Linked DNA regions of Macaca fascicularis. Each later gene encodes a partner of the first gene's protein in a complex. Links are inferred from orthologs where the notes say so. Each region holds a gene or a part of one and is shown in the gene's direction. Other genes may lie near its edges.

Region 1 (8,927 bases):
CATGTGATGATCCTTGAAAAAAAGGTTCTAGAGTCATACTATATATTTGATTCATGGATTTCTCTTATAAGGAGGAATTCCTTTTATAAAGATGTACAGTGAGAAGTCCTGAATTAAGAAACTGATGTAACTCAGTGCTTCCTAAATTTATCTGACTCCAAAACCCTTTTTTCCATGACATGAAATTTGCCAATATCCTGGTATTCCACAGAACACATTTTGGAGAACTCAGGTTAATACGGCAGCAGAAGCTTAGGGGAGATCTTGGAAAGGAGAAGAAGTTCATTTTTAGAGGAAAGGCAGAGAAGCAGACTAAGAATGTATTTGAGGGCATCATGGGGAAGGAATAAATTGTGCCAGGCTACATTGCTTGGGAGGTGGATGGGGGAGCCCTGGGCTGACTTCTGAGATGTCCATGGGGTGAGTGGGGAGGTGGGAGTCTTTGCCCAGGGAGGCTCAGGAGTCCATCTTTTCTGTGGGCACCTAGAAAGGAGGTACTGCACATGCTGGTGGCTTACCCAGGCAATTAATTATGTTTCCAGCACCACAGTGTTGCAGAGCATGAAGCTGGGGGTGGACGTAAACCGCCACAAAGAGGTCATTGTTAAGGCCATTTCTGCTGTCCTGCTGCTGCTGCTCAAGCACTTTAAGTTGAACCATGTCTACCAGGTACCCGCAGGGCTTTCCCTCCTGTCCTGTGGTCTGGGGCCTCGGGCACTACTGCTCCTCCAGCCCACAAGAACGGGGGCCTTGGCCTTTGACCCGCTTGAACTCTGCATGAATGTTCTAAGACATGGCCCTCCAGCCAAGGCCTTTCATCCCTGGAGGAAAGAAGGCAAGGTCCCAAGGGCCACGCCTTTTTTTTTTCTTCCCCTGTTGGCTTCAGTTTGAATACATGGCCCAGCACCTGGTGTTTGCCAACTGCATTCCTTTGATCCTAAAGTTCTTCAATCAAAACATCATGTCCTACATCACCGCCAAGAACAGGTGACGAGGGCCAGGGACCGTGAAGGGGCGGGTATGGTCAGACAGCAGAGTTCCCAGCTGGTATTTCCCACTGCCTCCATTTTTCCAGCATCTACGAGCCAGCGCTCTGCAAGGCATCAGGACACAAAGATAAATGAGACATGGCCCCTGCCTGTGGAGAGCCCAGTGTGTCAAATCTGAGTCGAGCTAGTCGTGCCCCAGGTGCCTCGGCCTGTACCTGGGCAGGAGGGTTTTCATCCCGGGATCTAGTACTTTCTTCCCTGTCCCTTTTGTACTTTTTTTTTTGAGGAGACCTTGGGCTGCTTGCTCTCTCTAAGGGGCTCGGCCATGTGCCCTGTAACGCCCTGTCTGCTGACTCTTAGCCCCTGCTGTTGGCCTGGTGCCAGCTATAGTTGACATTACTTGCTCGTCAGTGTGATATACCACAGGGCGCTGGCCAGACCCTGTCTCCAGAAAGGCTTGGCATCAATTAGTTGCCCTGAGCAGTCTCCTCCCCAGCCCCGCACTGATGGCTATGGGGGAAGCTGTGAGGGTCTCTGCCCCTTACAAGATCAACCAGCTGGCCTCTGGCTACAGGAGTGCCTTACAAGTTCCCTTGTAGCAGATATTTCCTCGTCTTATAGCTGGGGAAACGGGTGGGACAGACCAGGTAGATTCCTACTTCTGCTCCAACAAGTGAGGGAGGAAGGCTGGGAACTGGCTCAGGCACGGCTGCTCCACTAGGCCCTGGGCCTTTGCTCATGGTGGGCACCTGGATCCTCTCCCCTCTGCAGCATTTCTGTCCTGGATTACCCTCACTGCGTGGTGCATGAGCTGCCAGAGCTGACTGCAGAGAGTCTGGTGAGTGGCTGGGCTCTCCTCGGCTGTCCCTTTGGCACCCGGGTTAGTGAGTAGAGAGCCTGCCTACCCCAACACCACAGGAATAGAGGTGTCTCCCACAGGCGAAGTCACTGTGGAGTGCCCGGCTTTTAGAGCACTGTAAGTGTACAAAAGGGCCAGGAGGAGGGCTCTTGCAGAGCAGAGAGATTTGGATTTAGGGATTTGTCAGGGAGTGTGATCTTCAGGGGCTGCTGATCCAGAGCTCACCTCGTAGAGGGCTTCTCTCCCTCAACACTGGACTCAGCAGTAGGAGCCCTAGGGCAGCCCAAGGCTGCAGCTCCCAGTATCACGGTTCATGTTTCCTTCAGGAAAAGTCTGGGGAGCCTCCCTCTTCCCCTAGTCCCTGCCAGCTTCTGGGACGGAGTCCTGGGGCTGCTCTGAGAGCAGGGGGTTCCTGGTAGAGGCCTGAAGACCCGGCTCTTCTAAGATCATGTGTGAGGGACTTTTGGAAACTGCTGCACACACTGTAGCCGTGAGGGCTGATTGTTCCTGGGTTTACCCTGCAGGAAGCAGGTGACAGTAACCAGTTTTGCTGGAGGAACCTCTTTTCTTGTATCAATCTGCTTCGGATCTTGAACAAGCTGACAAAGTGGAAGCATTCAAGGACAATGGTAAGTGAGTCAGTGCATTCAGCAGGCTTGGAACTTGGAGCTCAAAGAAGAGTGCTGGGAGCAGGGAGTCCCTAGGGTGGGGCTCACTGTGCCTTCTCACTTAACTTTGCTGTAGCCATATCCTTGCATTTTATGGGCCAGTTCCCAGTTCCTTGATGAGTTTGATGAGTTGAACTGGAAGCTGGAAGAGGCCCAGTCATGTACTAAAACAAATCTACACTTACAGAAGAGCTTTTTCCATGTCATCTTAATCTTGATTGGTTACATAACCAGGGTTCTGAGAATCTTCCTTAACTCTGGGTCTGTGGATGCCTTTGGGGTGGGGAGGTCCTTGAATCCTCTGGTAACTTATGTGTACGTGTACACAGGAATGTTTCTGGAAAGAATCCATAGCTTTCTTCAGATTCCAAAGTGACCCTTAGTTAGGGTGACCAACCATCCTGGTTTGCCTGGAACTCTACTGGTTTTAGCATTTGAAGTCCAATGTATTAGGAAACGCTTCAGTCCAAGGGAAACTGGGAAGGTTTGTCACCTTAACTTCCAAAGGGTTAAGCAGCAGCGTGACCAGGGCTGTATGCATTTATTTCTGTCTTCAGCTTGGGCTGCTTGCTTGTTTGCCTTCCCAGATGCTGGTGGTGTTCAAGTCAGCCCCCATCTTGAAGCGGGCCCTAAAGGTGAAACAAGCCATGATGCAGCTCTACGTGCTGAAGCTGCTCAAGGTACAGACCAAATACTTGGGGCGGCAGTGGCGAAAGAGCAACATGAAGACCATGTCTGCCATCTACCAGAAGGTGCGGCATCGGCTCAATGACGACTGGGCATACGGCAACGGTGAGGCTCTGCACTCAGTCACATTTGGGTGGGAGTGTGTCGGGCAAGGTGACATCTTCCACTCCCTGCCCGTGGTGCTCAGGTGCTTCTCTGCCCTGAGCTTCCCACCAAGGAACAGAAAGGAGCCCAGCTTCTGCTTTTGTAGCATCAGGATGGGCACTCTAGGAAGGACTTTGAGAAGCTACCCAGGCTTGGCATCTGCGATCATCCCCATCTCTCCCTGTACCTCCAAGTCATTCCTTTTCTAGAAATTGTCATAACACTATGTCCCCTCTTTTCATCCCCATTTTGGCCACCCAAACTTTTACAGCTCTTGACTGGCTTCCCTGCCTCTAGTTCCTTCCCCTCCATCAGTGTCTTAGATTTCCCTAGTGATCCTTTTTTACTTTAATTTTTTTCAAAGATGGGGCCTGTTTCAAAGATGGGGCTGTGTTGGCCCAGGCTGGAGTGTGGTCTCGGCTCACCATAACATCTGCCTCCTTAGTCTCCCGAGTAGCTGGACCACAGGCACATTCCACTGTGCCCACCTAATTGTATCTTTTTTGTAGAGACAGGGTTTCACCATGTTTCCTAGGGTGTTTTTTTGTTTCTTTTTTTTTTTTGAGACAGAGATTCTGTCACCCAGGCTGGTTTGCACTGGCACGGTCTCAGCTCACTGCAACCTCCGCCCCCCGAGTTTAAGCAATTCTCCCCCCTCAGCCTCCCAACTAGCTGGGACTACAGCTGGACTCCACCATGTCCAGCTAATTTTTGTATTTTTTGTAGAGATGGGGTTTCACCATGTTAGCCAGGCTGGTCTCGAGTTCCTGGCCTCAAGTGATCCACCCGCCTCAGCCTCCCAAAGTGCTGGGATCACAGGCGTGAGCCACTGTGCCTATCCTTCTCAGGTGGTTCTTGAACTCCTGGGTTCAAGGGATCCACCTGCCTTGGCCTCCCAAAGTGTTGGGATTACAGGCATGAGCCACTGCGCCCGGCACCCTAGTGAATCTTTTCAACATGCAGCTTCTGTGCTGTTACCTCCCTGAGTAAAATCCTTCATTAGCTTCCTGTTTCCCTTAGAATTAGATTCAGACTCAAGCATGAGGCTCCCTCGTCCTTTTTCATTATCCTCCTCTGTAATCTGACCCAGCTTCCTTTTCAACCTCGTTACCTGCTGTCAGTCCAGCCTCCATCATACCCAGAGCTCCAGGCACAAGGAGTGCTTAGTGCCCTAACATAGCTGTGTGGTTCCCACTGCTAGGCCTCTGCAGACGCTCTTCCTCCACCCGCAGGGTCTCCCCTGCCCGCCTGGGCTGCTCTGTGTGGGTGTGTTGCCACATTGTTGCGTTTCTGGAGTATACCACCATGGCTAAATGACTGTGTCTGTACTCTCAGTGCCTTGTGAATGTGTGCAGGCCCACGGTGGCACACGGTACCTGGTCAGGGAGTTGAGAGAGAATGAGCAAATGAGAGGATTTCCAGGTTCCTCCCTCTGACCCCAGAGAGCTAGGGAGGTTGCCACTTTGAGAGAAATGTGTTGTACACATGGCTCTCCCTCTCTGGGTCTACATAATCTCTACAGTATAAGCCTCTTTGTCGGTACTTCTGTCTTTTCTGCTTGTACTTGACTCTCCTTTGGATCTAGGAAGGAATTCCTAGAGCTCGGAGGTATCCTGCTCCTAGTTGACACTCAATATTCCTGGCCAGGCCCCTGAGCTGCAGTGAGTCCATGGGGAGCTGCTACAGGGCGTGGCTCCTAACTGTGTTCTTCCTGCTTTGTCTCAGATCTTGATGCCCGGCCTTGGGACTTCCAGGCAGAGGAGTGTGCCCTCCGTGCCAACATTGAACGCTTCAACGCCCGGCGCTATGACCGGGCCCACAGCAACCCCGACTTCCTGCCAGTGGACAACTGCCTGCAGAGTGTCCTGGGCCAACGGGTGGACCTCCCTGAGGACTTTCAGATGAACTATGACCTCTGGTTAGAAAGGGAGGTCTTCTCCAAGCCCATTTCCTGGGAAGAGCTGCTGCAGTAAGGCTGTTGGTTAGGGGACTGAAACAGAGAAAGGAGGATCTCAAGGTACCTGCAGGACTGTCCTAGTTCATGGCTGCAGTGCTCCCATTCCCCACCAGGTGGCAGCACAGCCCCACTGTGTCTTCTGCAGTCTGTCCTGGGCTTGGATGAGCCCAGCTTTACCTCCTATTGGTTCCCAGGGTCCAGCTCAGAAGCAGTCATCTCTGCCTGGGATCCATTCTTCCTTTATTTCTCCCACCCTCCTCTCTTGGACATGGTTGGTTTTGGCTCATTTCACAATCAGCCCAAGGCTGGGAAAGCTGGAATGGGATGGGAACCCCTCCACAGCACATCTAAATTTCAGGGGTCATGCTGATGCCTCCTGAGACACACAAATCCTTGCTTTGTCAGCTTGCAAAGGAGGAGAGTTTAGGATTAGGGCCAGGGCCAAAAAAAAATACAACGGTGTCTTGGTTGTGCTCTGGGGTGGGGGTGGGGGGTTTCTGTTGTTATTCCAGCCTCCTGCTATGTTACATGCAGAAGTAATTGCAGAGGCTCCTGCAGCTGCCTCCACACTTTGATTTTGGACAGGGACAAGGTAGGAAGAGAAGCTTCCCTTAACCAGAGGGGCCATTTTTCCTTTTGGCTTTGGAGGGCCTGTAAATACCTATATATAATTCTGTGTGTATTCTCCTGTGTCATGTTGGGGTTTTTAATGTGTTTGTGTATTCTGTTTACATTAAAAATAAGCAAAAATCATTCCCGTTGGCTTGTCTACGGGAAATATGGCCTCTACATGTCTCCTCCAGGTCTAGAAAGTGTTTTTTTCTGCTAGCATTGCTGGTCACTGCTTGTCTTGCCAAGCTGCCTGCCTTTCCCATCCTGGGGGAAGAGAAGAGGGAGTTGGCATTTATCCAGTGTAAATTAACCCCACAGTAATCTGGGATTACTCTCACCCAACTCCAGGGCACTATCAAGGTTACTTTACTGAGACATTGTCCTGCACCCCTGGGTTTGCTGTAATTTCAGTAGGAGCCCCAGGTTTCTCTGGATCACATCACTGAGCTGGCCTCAGCCAAACCAGTGTCAGTGCTAGAGAGGGAGGGGCTAGGTCAAAGCAAGGGGGTCAGCTGCTCTAGGTCCTCCCTGGGGCAGGTGGTTGGGACTGAGCGGAAACTTCAGTACTCAGAGCGTAGGAAGCAGACTATCAGGAGTCAGGTTCATGGTGGGAAACAATGTTGCCAGGAGCCAGGAGCCCCCTGTGGCTGAGAAAAAAGCAAGGAAAATCTTTGCAGTGGGTGTCAGTGGACACCTGGCGCCTACACTCTGGCCTCCAGACCCCTGGTTGCGTCTGCCTGAGAAGATATTACCGTTTTGATGCTGGTAAAAGGAGTGTTCCCTTTTTAGAATTCCTGGAAGCTCTTATTTTACCTGTACGCAGTTGTTTTATAGGTTCTTAAGTCTTGAAGGGTCTTGACTTGTAAAGGAAACATGTTTTGGGGAGAATCTCCCCTTCCTTGGGTCTTGTGTTCAGTGCCTGCCTGACCTGGGACCTGCTGAGCCTCAGACAGGCCTTTTGATGTGCCAGCATGGTTAGGGACAGCAGGGGTGGAAGGCAGCAGTGTACTCCTGGTGGTCACACAGTCTGTGAGATGGGAAGTCCCATCTGTGACTGATGGGCCCTTTGCCCCAAAGTAACTTGTACAGGACAAGGGAATTGACACAGTTTATGTGTGGATGATGGATTTTCTGCTATTTCTTGCCAGGACTGGTAGGAAATATGTATCTTGAGATTTCAATTAGGGAGAGATGGATTTTTCACACTGGTACTGTCCCATGAAGCCTGAGTCACTGAACCTGCATGGTCAAGGCCTGTCTCTCCTCTGACCTGCAAAACAGAATGCAGGACTATCAAAACTGCAAGGGCCGTGAAGCCTGGGCAGGTGAATCCCTTCAGCTGTAGGCCCAGGAGCCAGCCCAGAGAGAGGAAGGGGCTTCTCACAGTCACAGAGCATGTTAGTGGCAGGTTGGCCATTTGAACTCAGGACTTTGTACAGAAATGTCTTTTGGAGCCACCCAGTTTTTGTGGCTTTTTAAATCTCATCTGGGTCATGAAGTGGGCAGAGTACATGAAGACCCTTTGTAAATGATTGAATTACATAAAATATTGTTTATTGCTAAGCAGACTCAGGGTCCACTCTTCAATCCACTGAGAGACAGACTACCCTGAGGCAGTATCACTGTAAGGATAGGAACTGTCCGTTATTAATCATAAGAGTTACCACTTATGGGTTGCCAAGTAGGTACCAGGCACAATATTAGATGCTTCTCAAAGCCTTATTTTCTACAAAGCCAGTAAATACTGAGTACTTACTGTGTGCCAGCCAGCATTCTAACCACTTGATGTATAATATCTTATATATTCCTTGTAATATCTTGAAAGATACATGCCATTTTAATCCCTATTTTGCACAGGAGAAAACTGTGGCACAGAAAGGATAAAGAACTTGCCCAAAGTCATATAAAGGCAAGAGCCAGGATTCAAATCCAGGCCTCTGTCAGCACATGCATTTTTTTCACTTCCTCACACCCTTTGCTATTAGTCATTGTCATACCCCAGCACTTACCACCAGTACTTACCACCAGTGCATTCATTTGCTCATTTATTCACCACAGCCAATACTTCTATTTGCTCTAGCATCATCCCTGGCATGAAAGATTCATGGTAAATGTCCATTGCTTTAGGTCCTAACTGGACCACCCAAGCTTAGCCTTGGGCTAGCCTCTGGTGTTCCCTGGATGTGCCCTCCTCAGGGTAACTTGGCTGTTGCTGCTGTCTTTTTTCTTTTCAGCCTGAGCCTAAATTTCTTTCTCTTCTGGGTCCCAGAGGACTCTTGTGTTGGCTGCCCTATCCAGACCTGTTAGGCTCATTTCCCAGAAAGCTGGCTTCTTGTCTGTCCTGGATGAGCTGACTTCTCAGAGGAGAATAGCTGTTACATTCATTCGGCACTTAGCACAGTCAGCCTCAGGAGCACCCTTTGGAAGTGAGACAGCCCTGACTTTCAGTTCGGGCTCTGACATTTATTCACTGAGGGACCTTGAGCTAGTCAAGTTCCAAGTCTCAGTTGGCTCATCTGTAAAAATTGGTTTAATAATAGCCCTATTGCGTGGACTGAGTAAGATCATGGAAATGAACCTACAGGTCTGGCTGACAAGGGATGACAATAAATGGTAGCAGTTCTTAGTCTTGGCAATGGCCCCTCCAACTCTAATGTTCTATGAATTTGCACCCATTTCCTGTGTCCCTAGAAGACAGAAATCCCCTTCAAGGACCAGAACCATGTCTTAGGCCTCCTTAAAGCCCCTGGACCTAGCTTGCTGCTCTGAATCCAGAGGTGTCTCAGAAGAGTCAGCTTCTCGTCCAGCAACCTGCCATCACACCTTGAAGGCCTGTTGGGGCCAGGCCCTGTGGTTGATGCCCTGGATATCCAGGTGACTAGGATACCACACTCTCTCACTTCTCTCGAGCTCACAGTTGATGGAGACACAGTCATAAGAGCAAGTAAAAGCAATAGCATGATAGGTAACAGACGTCTGAAGGGCTTACCTCAGGTCCCACTGGTCCCAGC
Region 2 (8,827 bases), on another chromosome or scaffold:
TGGTCAGTTACACCGTTTGTTAGAAGGTTCCTTCCTACAAGGAAAACAGTGCAGGCGGGGGAGGTGAATGGGGGAGCTGGAGTGAGGATGAGCCACAGAGGGCCTGAGACCAGGAGGTTTTCGCTGGTTAAAAGATCAGCTAGCGTTGCCAGAGAATCCGAGGGACAACCTTGGAATCTAATTACAAAGGGACTGTGCTGCATAAACCAGTCACTTAGGCAGAGGTGTTTGACAGACTTAAAAAATGAGTCCACAACATGGGTTTTAAGAAATGAGATGGCATATTCATTAATGTTTAGGCCAAGCTGCCATCCTACTAGCTCTAACACATTGTCTCACAAAAGGTAGAAATTCATTTCTCCCCTGCACGTGGGGCCAGTGGCTCTGACCCACACTGTCACGGTCTGTGCTGGTGGGTGGCTCCACCATCTGGAGCCCCAGGCTTCCCTTGGTCTTCAGCCATTGTCCTCTCTCGCTGCCAGTGCTTCAGGGCCAAGACCAAGCAGGGGCACGGGGCACGTTTGCTCCTGTCTGTCCCGCTGGCAAGGTCTTAGTTGTGTGACCACAGGCTGCTGCTTAGAGTCTGGGAAATGTGGTCTCTTGTCGTGGCTGTGTGCCCAGCTGATGGTCCCTATTACAGAGCTTCGAAGCAGGGGAGGACAGACACGGGGAGGGGAAGTTAGAAGTCACCCAGCGGTGGAATGTAGTCTAGGTTTTTTTCCTGGGTCCTATTTGAAGAGTCTGCAAGTGCCTGAATGATGGAGAGCATGGTCACGATGGTGAACGCCAGCCGATGACTTGGAGAGCTTGGCCTGGTCCGAGCTGCTTATGAGGCACTCTGGGGTAGACAACAGCTAAATACCCTTTATAGTGGATTTTGATGCAGGAAGGATTTCTCCCCAAATAAAGGAGAGTTTTATCTCTTTTTCTCCTCTTCCTCCTCTTTCCCCATGGGCATATGAGTCAATGTTGGATGGTGTTCAGGGCAGATTTAAAGGGCAGAACCATGCAGATAGTCATCACAGAGCCAGCCCTTAATTATCCAGGGGAGGATTTTCCATGAGTGTTCCTCACCTCTTCTTCTTAGCGCCCTTTGGGGATGACAGCCGGCCGCTCTGCCATTGCTTTCAGGAGACTTGGTAATGGAAGGGAGGGTGGTTAAGTCCAGGTCTAGCCACAGGTTATTGATCGCTGGCTTGGGCATAGACTTGGTGAAGAAGGAGATGGGAGATGGGACCCAACTCTAGTGTGACTTTTGGTTTGTTTTTTTTTTTTTTTTTTTTTGTTCTTTTTGAGATGGAATCTTGGTCTGTCACCCTGGCTGGAGTGCAATGGTGTGATCTTGGCTCATTGCAACCTCCGCCTCCTGGGTTCAAGCGATTGTCCTGCCTGATCCTCCCAAGTAGCTGGGATTACAAGCATGTGCCACCAAGCCCGGCTAATTTTTCTGTATTTTTAGTAGAGATGGGGTTTCACCATGTTGGCTAGGCTGGTCTCGAACTCCCCACCTCAGGTGATCCACCCTCCTCGGCCTCCCAAAGTGCTGGGATTACAGGCGTGAGCCAGCGCACCTGGCCTCTCACATGACTTTGATCTTTGGTCGAGTGGATTCTCCTGCACTTCAGGGTTGGGAACAAAAGCAAACACTCCTCCGTCTTACCCTCCTCCCCACGTTCCACCCAGGTGATGAGAAGAGTCTGTGTTCCTCATTTTGAAAATCAAAATTTCTATATTCTATGAACACCGAAAAATAGATGTGGAGAAAACAGACTTACCACAAGGCAGGGTTTTCCAGATGGTGTTCTTTAGAAGAGTAGTTTCGATATGCATTTCTTGTAAAAAAAGACTTTTGGTCAGTTAACTGGGAAAAACTATGTTCTGGGGAGCAGAGTCTGTGCCATAATGTCTTAGTCTGAGGTAACTTTTGGACAATATCTTAATTGGAATTTGGGACAGTTCCTGGCAGGCGATGGACACGGGCATTTTGACCTTCTCCGAGCATATGCGTGAGGTCAAATTCAAAGCGACAAGTGCATTCTCTGCGCCTGGGTCCTGAGTGGAGAAGGCCGGGGTGGCTGGATTCCAGCTGGGTCTACTGCCAGGCAGGCCAGAGTCGCATCGAGGCCAGTGTGTGGGGAGAGGCCACCTCTGAGAGTGGCCCTGACCCTGGGATTGCTGTGTAGACCGGGGCGGGCCTGCAAGCCAAGGCAGCACAGCTCACCCATGAGCCGGAAAGCAGCGCCAGGTGTGAGTCAGGCTGTGGTTTCGGTGACAAGGGCTGTCTTGGTTGCCCCCATCCTGCGCCCCACAAGCCCTTCCGGATGTTGAACAGGATGTCCCGGTGAAGGAGCTGAGATATGCAAGGGGGACTATCGGGGTCTGTCCCTGATAGTCTGAGTCTGTCCCTGCACGCCTGAGTCAGACGCTTCCCGCAGAGGAGCACCCTAGTTTTCATCCCCTTTGGCTTAAAGCACGTAACTTATCTTTTTAAAACTAAGTGAAAGGCCCCAGATTGTGTCTTCCCGTTGGCTAAAATGTGTGGGTGTGGGCTTTGAAGACATTCACTGTCACGCCTGAAAACCAAGAATGGGGGACCATGATTCGGAGGAACCTGCCTGTATTGACATCTGCCCTCTGTCCGGCTCCGTTTCTGTGGTTCCGGGGAGCGTCGGTGGCTTTGCTGCTGTCGTCCGTGGAATTACTGTTTTTGACTGACTGCCCCACTCTGCAGGGGGCGGGGGCGGGGCTTCCCATCTGGTTTGAAGTGAGCCTGTTACCCTGGTTTTCCTTTCCTTTTAAATGGAGATGTGGATACCTGACATTTCTTCCTTTCGTCTTGTACAGTTGTGGATATAAAGGAGTCAGTAGGAACAATTAGTTTGAGTTTCTGAGAATAAAAGCTTTCAGAGGTAATTATTACCTCAGGGATAATATAATAATTATTTTTATTATATAATATCGATTATATAACAAATCCCAAACTATTAGGATTTAAGCTGTTTCAGCTGCATTCCCCCAAGTTGGGGAGCTTTAACTGCGGATTTAAAAAATTTCTAGTACAAGGTTATCCTCAGAGGCGCCGGGCTCCTAGGCCTTTGTTCCTAGGTGTTTTTGGATCCCAGGGGTGAGCCTTCTGATAAGGGAACCACATATGTTGGGACAGATCCTGGCTGCTCTGTGAGTCTCTGGCTGTTTGTTTCCTGGAGTGAAATCCCCAGCCTGTGCCCCGCCCCTGCCATGGCCGGTGGGGCGTCGTGTGGTCAGCTGCAGGCGCAGGCGGGGCCGCGGGCTTCCTCATTGGCTCCGCTTTGCTTCATTCAGCAAAGCCGTTTTCTTGGGCTCTTTGTTTTTTTAAGTGTCTGTCAGTGGACTGTAATTGTTAGGGCAAAATCCTGTGTTTTAAGTGAAGAAGATTTCAGGTTTTAATTACCCTTGTCCATTAACATGGATAGTGTTTCTGTTTTATCTCAAACTGTTCATAAGATAATCATTTAAGTAACTTTAAGAATTTTTTTCTCTTCTTAGTTAGAACCTGGCCCGTTAGATGAAACCCAGATCGCTACTATATTAAGAGAAATACTGAAAGGACTTGATTATCTCCATTCCGAGAAGAAAATCCACAGAGACATTAAAGGTAAGAGGACGTCTGTTTTCATTCCTTTGAAATAGTGAAGGCGGTGGTGGGGTTGCACTGAAGCCTTCTCAAGGGAAGGTGCTGGCACCCATTTGTCGTGCACGTTTGCCTTGCCTGGGCTGGGCTGGCTTTGAGGGGGTCTGACAAAAAGTGTAGCCCCCAGTGCCTGTTCTCCCTGGGCTCAACACCTAGCCGGGGAGAAGACGCGCTCGTGGCAGTGCATGGAGTTGTAAGTCCCCGCCGCTCAGGGCCCCCTTGGCTTGCTTTTGCAGCGGCCAACGTCCTGCTGTCTGAGCACGGGGAGGTGAAGCTGGCGGACTTTGGCGTGGCCGGCCAGCTGACGGACACCCAGATCAAAAGGAACACTTTCGTGGGCACCCCATTCTGGATGGCACCCGAGGTCATCAAACAGTCGGCCTACGACTCGAAGGTGAGGGGAAGGTGAGGGTGGCGCTGTGCCTCACGGGGCCTGGAGGGCTCCCGCCTTTTGTTCTTTAGCCTGGTAGCTTTTGTAAGTTGGACCGAAGCTGGTACCTTGAGGTAGGTCATAAAGGTAATTCTTCAACCTTAGTTACAGTTTTCTCCTGTCTGCTGCTGTATCATTTAGTATCCTTTGCTGATCCAGCCCACCATGATCGAAGTTTTGAGCTCAGACCATGTGCGTTTGGTGGCGGTGGGGACACAGGACGCAGCGGGTTCAGAACGGGGTGGGAGGAAGAGAAGGGCCGCGGTGGTGAGGGGTGGAGGCGTGTGCGGCTGCAGAGGGCCTCCACCTGCTGTCTGGGCACAGCTGGGGGTTGAAGTGCAAGTGCATGGAATCTGCAGCCTTGAAGGGGCCTGTAGAGAAAGGGGCTCCCATAAGAGAAAGGGAGGGAGTCCACGGAAGTGTGAGAATGGAGGAAGAACAGTGCTTTGAGTGACTGCTGCAGGGTCTTCCTATTATTTTTAGTTCTCAGGATTCTCGTTCCCAGCCTGTCCTTGTCAACATGAGATGAGACCCTAACCCTTTCTTCCCACTGCTTTTACTTGTCCTGTGTTATGCGCTCCTAGTTTTTCTCATACTCTTTTTCTCTGTTGCCCTCCACTTTTGTGAACTCTGTTAGATGGGACAAAAAATCCCGGGACTTTGCCTCCTGGGGCTCTGGTTTAACTTCAGTTCCCACAGTCTGCTCTTCTTTGGACCCTGTACGCAGTTAAGAGGCCACATGATCCACGGAGAATTGGCTTTCCTGGACCCCAACTTTCTGAGCAAACATATGCTTAGACACACATACAGGCCGAACCTTGCTGCTGCTTTTAAATAGAAATCTTCCCAGTACCCGGTAGACTTCCCACCTTGTTAAACATGGTACAGGAAGCACCAGGTGACTTTCCCTGCAGCCCCAGGGTCACCGTTGCAAGCTATAGACTGTTAGAAAGTGTCCAGGTTGTAGCTCAAGTTGCAGGTGTGCCTGGTTCCACCATGGGAGGAGTGAGCCCATCTCACCGCTGTGTGGTAGTGGTGGCCACAACTTTTCTGAGCACTATGATGGCCTTGACAGCCATTGGCTGGTGAGTGACTAGTGGGTTCCCCCCGACCCCACCCCACCCCCCACGCAGCAGACCTGGCTGGTCTAGGGTGTGTGCCCTGCCTGGGAGTGTCTCTACCCCACATGGGAGGGATGCTGCTTTGGCTGCTTCTCATCTCCAGCTACCTTGGCTGTCGGCCCTTTTCCTGGGGTCATGTAATTTTAGGACTCAACCAGGAACTTATATGTTTAGTCCATTCTCTTTATTTTAAGCTGAGGCCCATTTATCAAAGTTGATCTGTGTAGATTTTGGTAAGGCTGAGACTGGAACCCATGTTTCTTAACTCATTGGATAACACCACCTTGATTATTCTCTTCTCGTTCTTTCTAGTAAATTAGCTGTGACTGAGGACTCTGATCTTAGATTTCCCTCCCTCCCTCCCTCCCTCCCTCCCTCCCTCCCTCTCTCCCTCCCTCCCTCCCTCCCTCCCTCTTTTCCTCTCTCCCTCCCTCCCTCCCTCTTTTCCTCCCTCCCTCTTTTCCTCCTTCCGTCCCTCCCTCCCTCTTTTCCTCTCTCCCTCCCTCCCTCCCTCTTTTCCTCTCTCCCTCCCTCCCTCCCTCTTTTCCTCTCTCCCTCCTTTCCTCCCTCCTTTCCTCTCCTTTCCTCCATCCCTCTTTTTCTCTCTCCTTTCCTCCCTCCCTCCCTCCCTCCTTTCCTCCCTTCCTCCCTCTCCCTCCTTCCTTCCTCTCCCTTCTTCCTTCCTCCCCTTCCTTCCTTCTCTCTCTCTTTTTCATTATTGTATTTATTTCATATTCTTTCATTTAACCCATTCTGTGTAGGCACATTTTTCTGGATTTCAGTAATACTGGAGTAGACAAGAACAAAAGTCTCTTCTCCTATATATCTTAAATTCATATGCAGGAGACTGACAGTAAACAGGAAGAATTAACAGCACTTTAGGAGCAAGCGTGCTGTGTTGTAGTCACCATTTTCAGGGATTTACCTGCCTTAGGTGAGAAATATCCCTAGAGAGTGGCGGGGCAGGAGGCGTGGGCACCTCAGTGTGGTGTGGGCAACTCAGCGTGCATTTCAGGGTGGGGCCCTGGTGAGATGGCGTTCTAGTTGAGATGCAAGCTGAGAGTTGTTTAAAAGAGTTTTGAAAGAATCAGTGCACAGCTCTAATTGGTGTTTTTAAAGAAAACTCCAGAATAAATATAACAGAAGAATGTTTAAAGTTTAAAGATTTAAAACTTATCTGAGGTTAAGAATGATGTGAACCCATAAGTCAAAGAGAGGTTGCCTGGTATCAAGCAAAATGAATGAATAGAGATTATTACATGTGTCAGAATCTTTTCCAGAGGAAAAAAGGTGTATTACAAACAAAAAATTAAGTGCCTTCAAAGGAAGAAAATCAAGCTGGTGCCATTCATCACGAATTCGTACTGAGCAACTGCACTGTGAATACAACTGTGAACAAGACAGCACGCTCCCTCCTCTCCTGAAGTAGAAGAGACAACCAGTAAGCAGTTTCAGATCGTGCACAGTGCCATGAAGAAAGGAGACGGGGCCATGTGGAGATCTTCCGTTTTTGGTTCCACCATCACTGCTCACATGAGAACCTTTATTCAAGAGCTGTCCTGTCTGCCTGAGCCGTCCCCACCACCTTCCTCGAAGGGCAGGGCCTCCCTGGGCGTTTGCTGGAGGCAGTGTGAGGACATCACAGCTTGGCTGCCTTCTTCCCCGAGCTCTTTCAACATCAGGAGGCTCTGGCCAGGTGTGGTGGCTCACAAGTGCCTGTAATCCCAGCACTTTGGGAAGCTGAGGATGGGAGTTTGAGACCAGCCTGGCTAACATGGTGAAACCCCGTTTCTACTAAAAATACTAAAATTAGCCAGGCGTGGTGGCGTATGCCTGTAGTCTCAGCTACTTGGGAGGCTGAGACAGGACAATCGCTTGAACCCAGGAGGCAGAGGTTGCAGTGAGCCGAGATTGTGCCACTGCAGTCCAGCCTGAACGACAGAGCAAGAGCCTGTCTCAAGAAAAAGAAAAAGACCCGGCCGGATGCGGTGGCTCAAGCCTGTAATCCCAGCACTTTGGGAGGCCGAGATGGGCGGATCATGAGGTCAGGAGATCGAGACCATCCTGGCTAACACGGTGAAACCCCGTCTCTACTAAAAAATACAAAAAACTGACCGAGCGAGGTGGCAGGCGTCTGTAGTCGCAGCTACTCGGGAGGCTGAGACAGGAGAATGGCGTAAACCTGGGAGGCGGAGCTTGCAGTGAGCTGAGATCCGGCCACAGCACTCCAGCCTGGGTGACAGAGCGAGACTCCGTCTCAAAAAAAAAAAAAAAAAAACCATCAGGAGGCTCTGATCTGACCAGTAGGTGTTATAGTGTTGGGGGTGGATTAGAGTATGGTCTCCCACTTCTGGCGAGTGCACACTTGGTTGGGAAGGGGATAGTATGAGAAAATGTGTCACATTTTTGGTCTGTTTTTACCTTTACTGTGACTTGTGTCAGAAGTTATTTCACTTGCTTGGATCCTCCCCAACAACTCTGAACTGGAAATCATGAGCAGACTCTTAGGTTGATGTGGAATTGACTTTCCAGGTTTGTTGACCCGGGAGGCGTGTGGTGAGGGCCGATGAGGGTCACATCTGTGTCCAAGTCTCAAAAGTTATCAGAAGCGGGGTTTCACGCTGGGGCCTTAGGGCTGAGATTTCCTTCGTTTCCCACTGGGTATGGCTCTGGACTGGCAGCTCTTGTTGCAAGCAGGGCCTGATAAGGGTGCTCTTCCAGGCCACCCCATGTGTGTCCCTCTAGTGGTTGACTTGCCTGCTGGGCAGCCAGTGCTCTTTGGGGTACACTGGTGGCTGCTCTGGTCTCACAGCTCACTCAGCTGCTTCCCAGCTTTCCCTCCATTCTCTCTTACATGACTCGTAGACATTTCCCCTCCTAGACTGCACTGCATGTAAGGAAAGACCTTCCAGCCATTGGGGACAGGGTTCGGTATGGTAGTTATGAAGGCACGTGCCCAGGTCACACCTAGGTTCACAAGCTGATTGTCAAAGGAAGGGTGGGTTGGGAGAAGTGATGAACTTCACCTGCCTCACTAGCTTCTTCATCTCACTGAACTAAAGGGAATACAAACCTCTGTTTCTTGTATATGTTTAGATCCTGTTTGGAGCCTTTTTGAGCATTGTCACCTCTGGCACTACCTGTGCCCTGTTGTCTGGGCTGCTCAGGTGTTGCTGAATGTGTTTGCATACAAAGGGCATCTTATGTCAATCCCAGTTCTTAACCTAAGCATGATATTACGAAGTCCTGATTGTCCATATGTTGTAAGAACCTTCATTACTAATGTTTTAAGGTGATTTGAGGAAGTTTGGTTTGTTTGAAGGAGTCCCCATCCTTTGGAGATGGTGCCAAGGGACATAACTCTGCTCACTGCAAAGAAGCCTCCGGTTTCAACACTAGAGAAAGGTCTTGGACTGAAGAACTGTCATCTCCCTTTTTCCTTGTAAGATTATTATGATGGTATGTCAGTGAATGGATGGCACTTGGTTTGCAGTGTAACCATGGTGAAAAGTGGAAACTGGTGATGCATTGATGGAAAAAAATAGCATTGTTGAAGATGGGTGAAGGCGTGGTCGGATGAGCCGATGCGCTGCGAGAACCCAGGCA

What was found.
Region 2: STRIP1 (region 1) and STK24 share a complex: the UniProt entries of both Homo sapiens proteins name them as parts of the core of STRIPAK complex. The link is inferred for Macaca fascicularis from reciprocal best matches to the Homo sapiens genes STRIP1 and STK24.

What each region holds. Positions count from the first base shown.
Region 1 is NC_088375.1:124,257,095-124,266,021, reverse strand, and holds the end of STRIP1 (striatin-interacting protein 1), read left to right. Parts: intron 1-542; coding exon 543-669; intron 670-886; coding exon 887-987; intron 988-1,760; coding exon 1,761-1,827; intron 1,828-2,372; coding exon 2,373-2,477; intron 2,478-3,103; coding exon 3,104-3,308; intron 3,309-5,072; coding exon 5,073-5,320; 3' UTR 5,321-6,057; downstream 6,058-8,927. UniProt on the Homo sapiens protein: Plays a role in the regulation of cell morphology and cytoskeletal organization. Required in the cortical actin filament dynamics and cell shape. Part of the striatin-interacting phosphatase and kinase (STRIPAK) complexes.
Region 2 is NC_088391.1:89,364,828-89,373,654, reverse strand, and holds part of STK24 (serine/threonine-protein kinase 24), read left to right. Parts: intron 1-3,525; coding exon 3,526-3,634; intron 3,635-3,906; coding exon 3,907-4,064; intron 4,065-8,827. UniProt on the Homo sapiens protein: Serine/threonine-protein kinase that acts on both serine and threonine residues and promotes apoptosis in response to stress stimuli and caspase activation.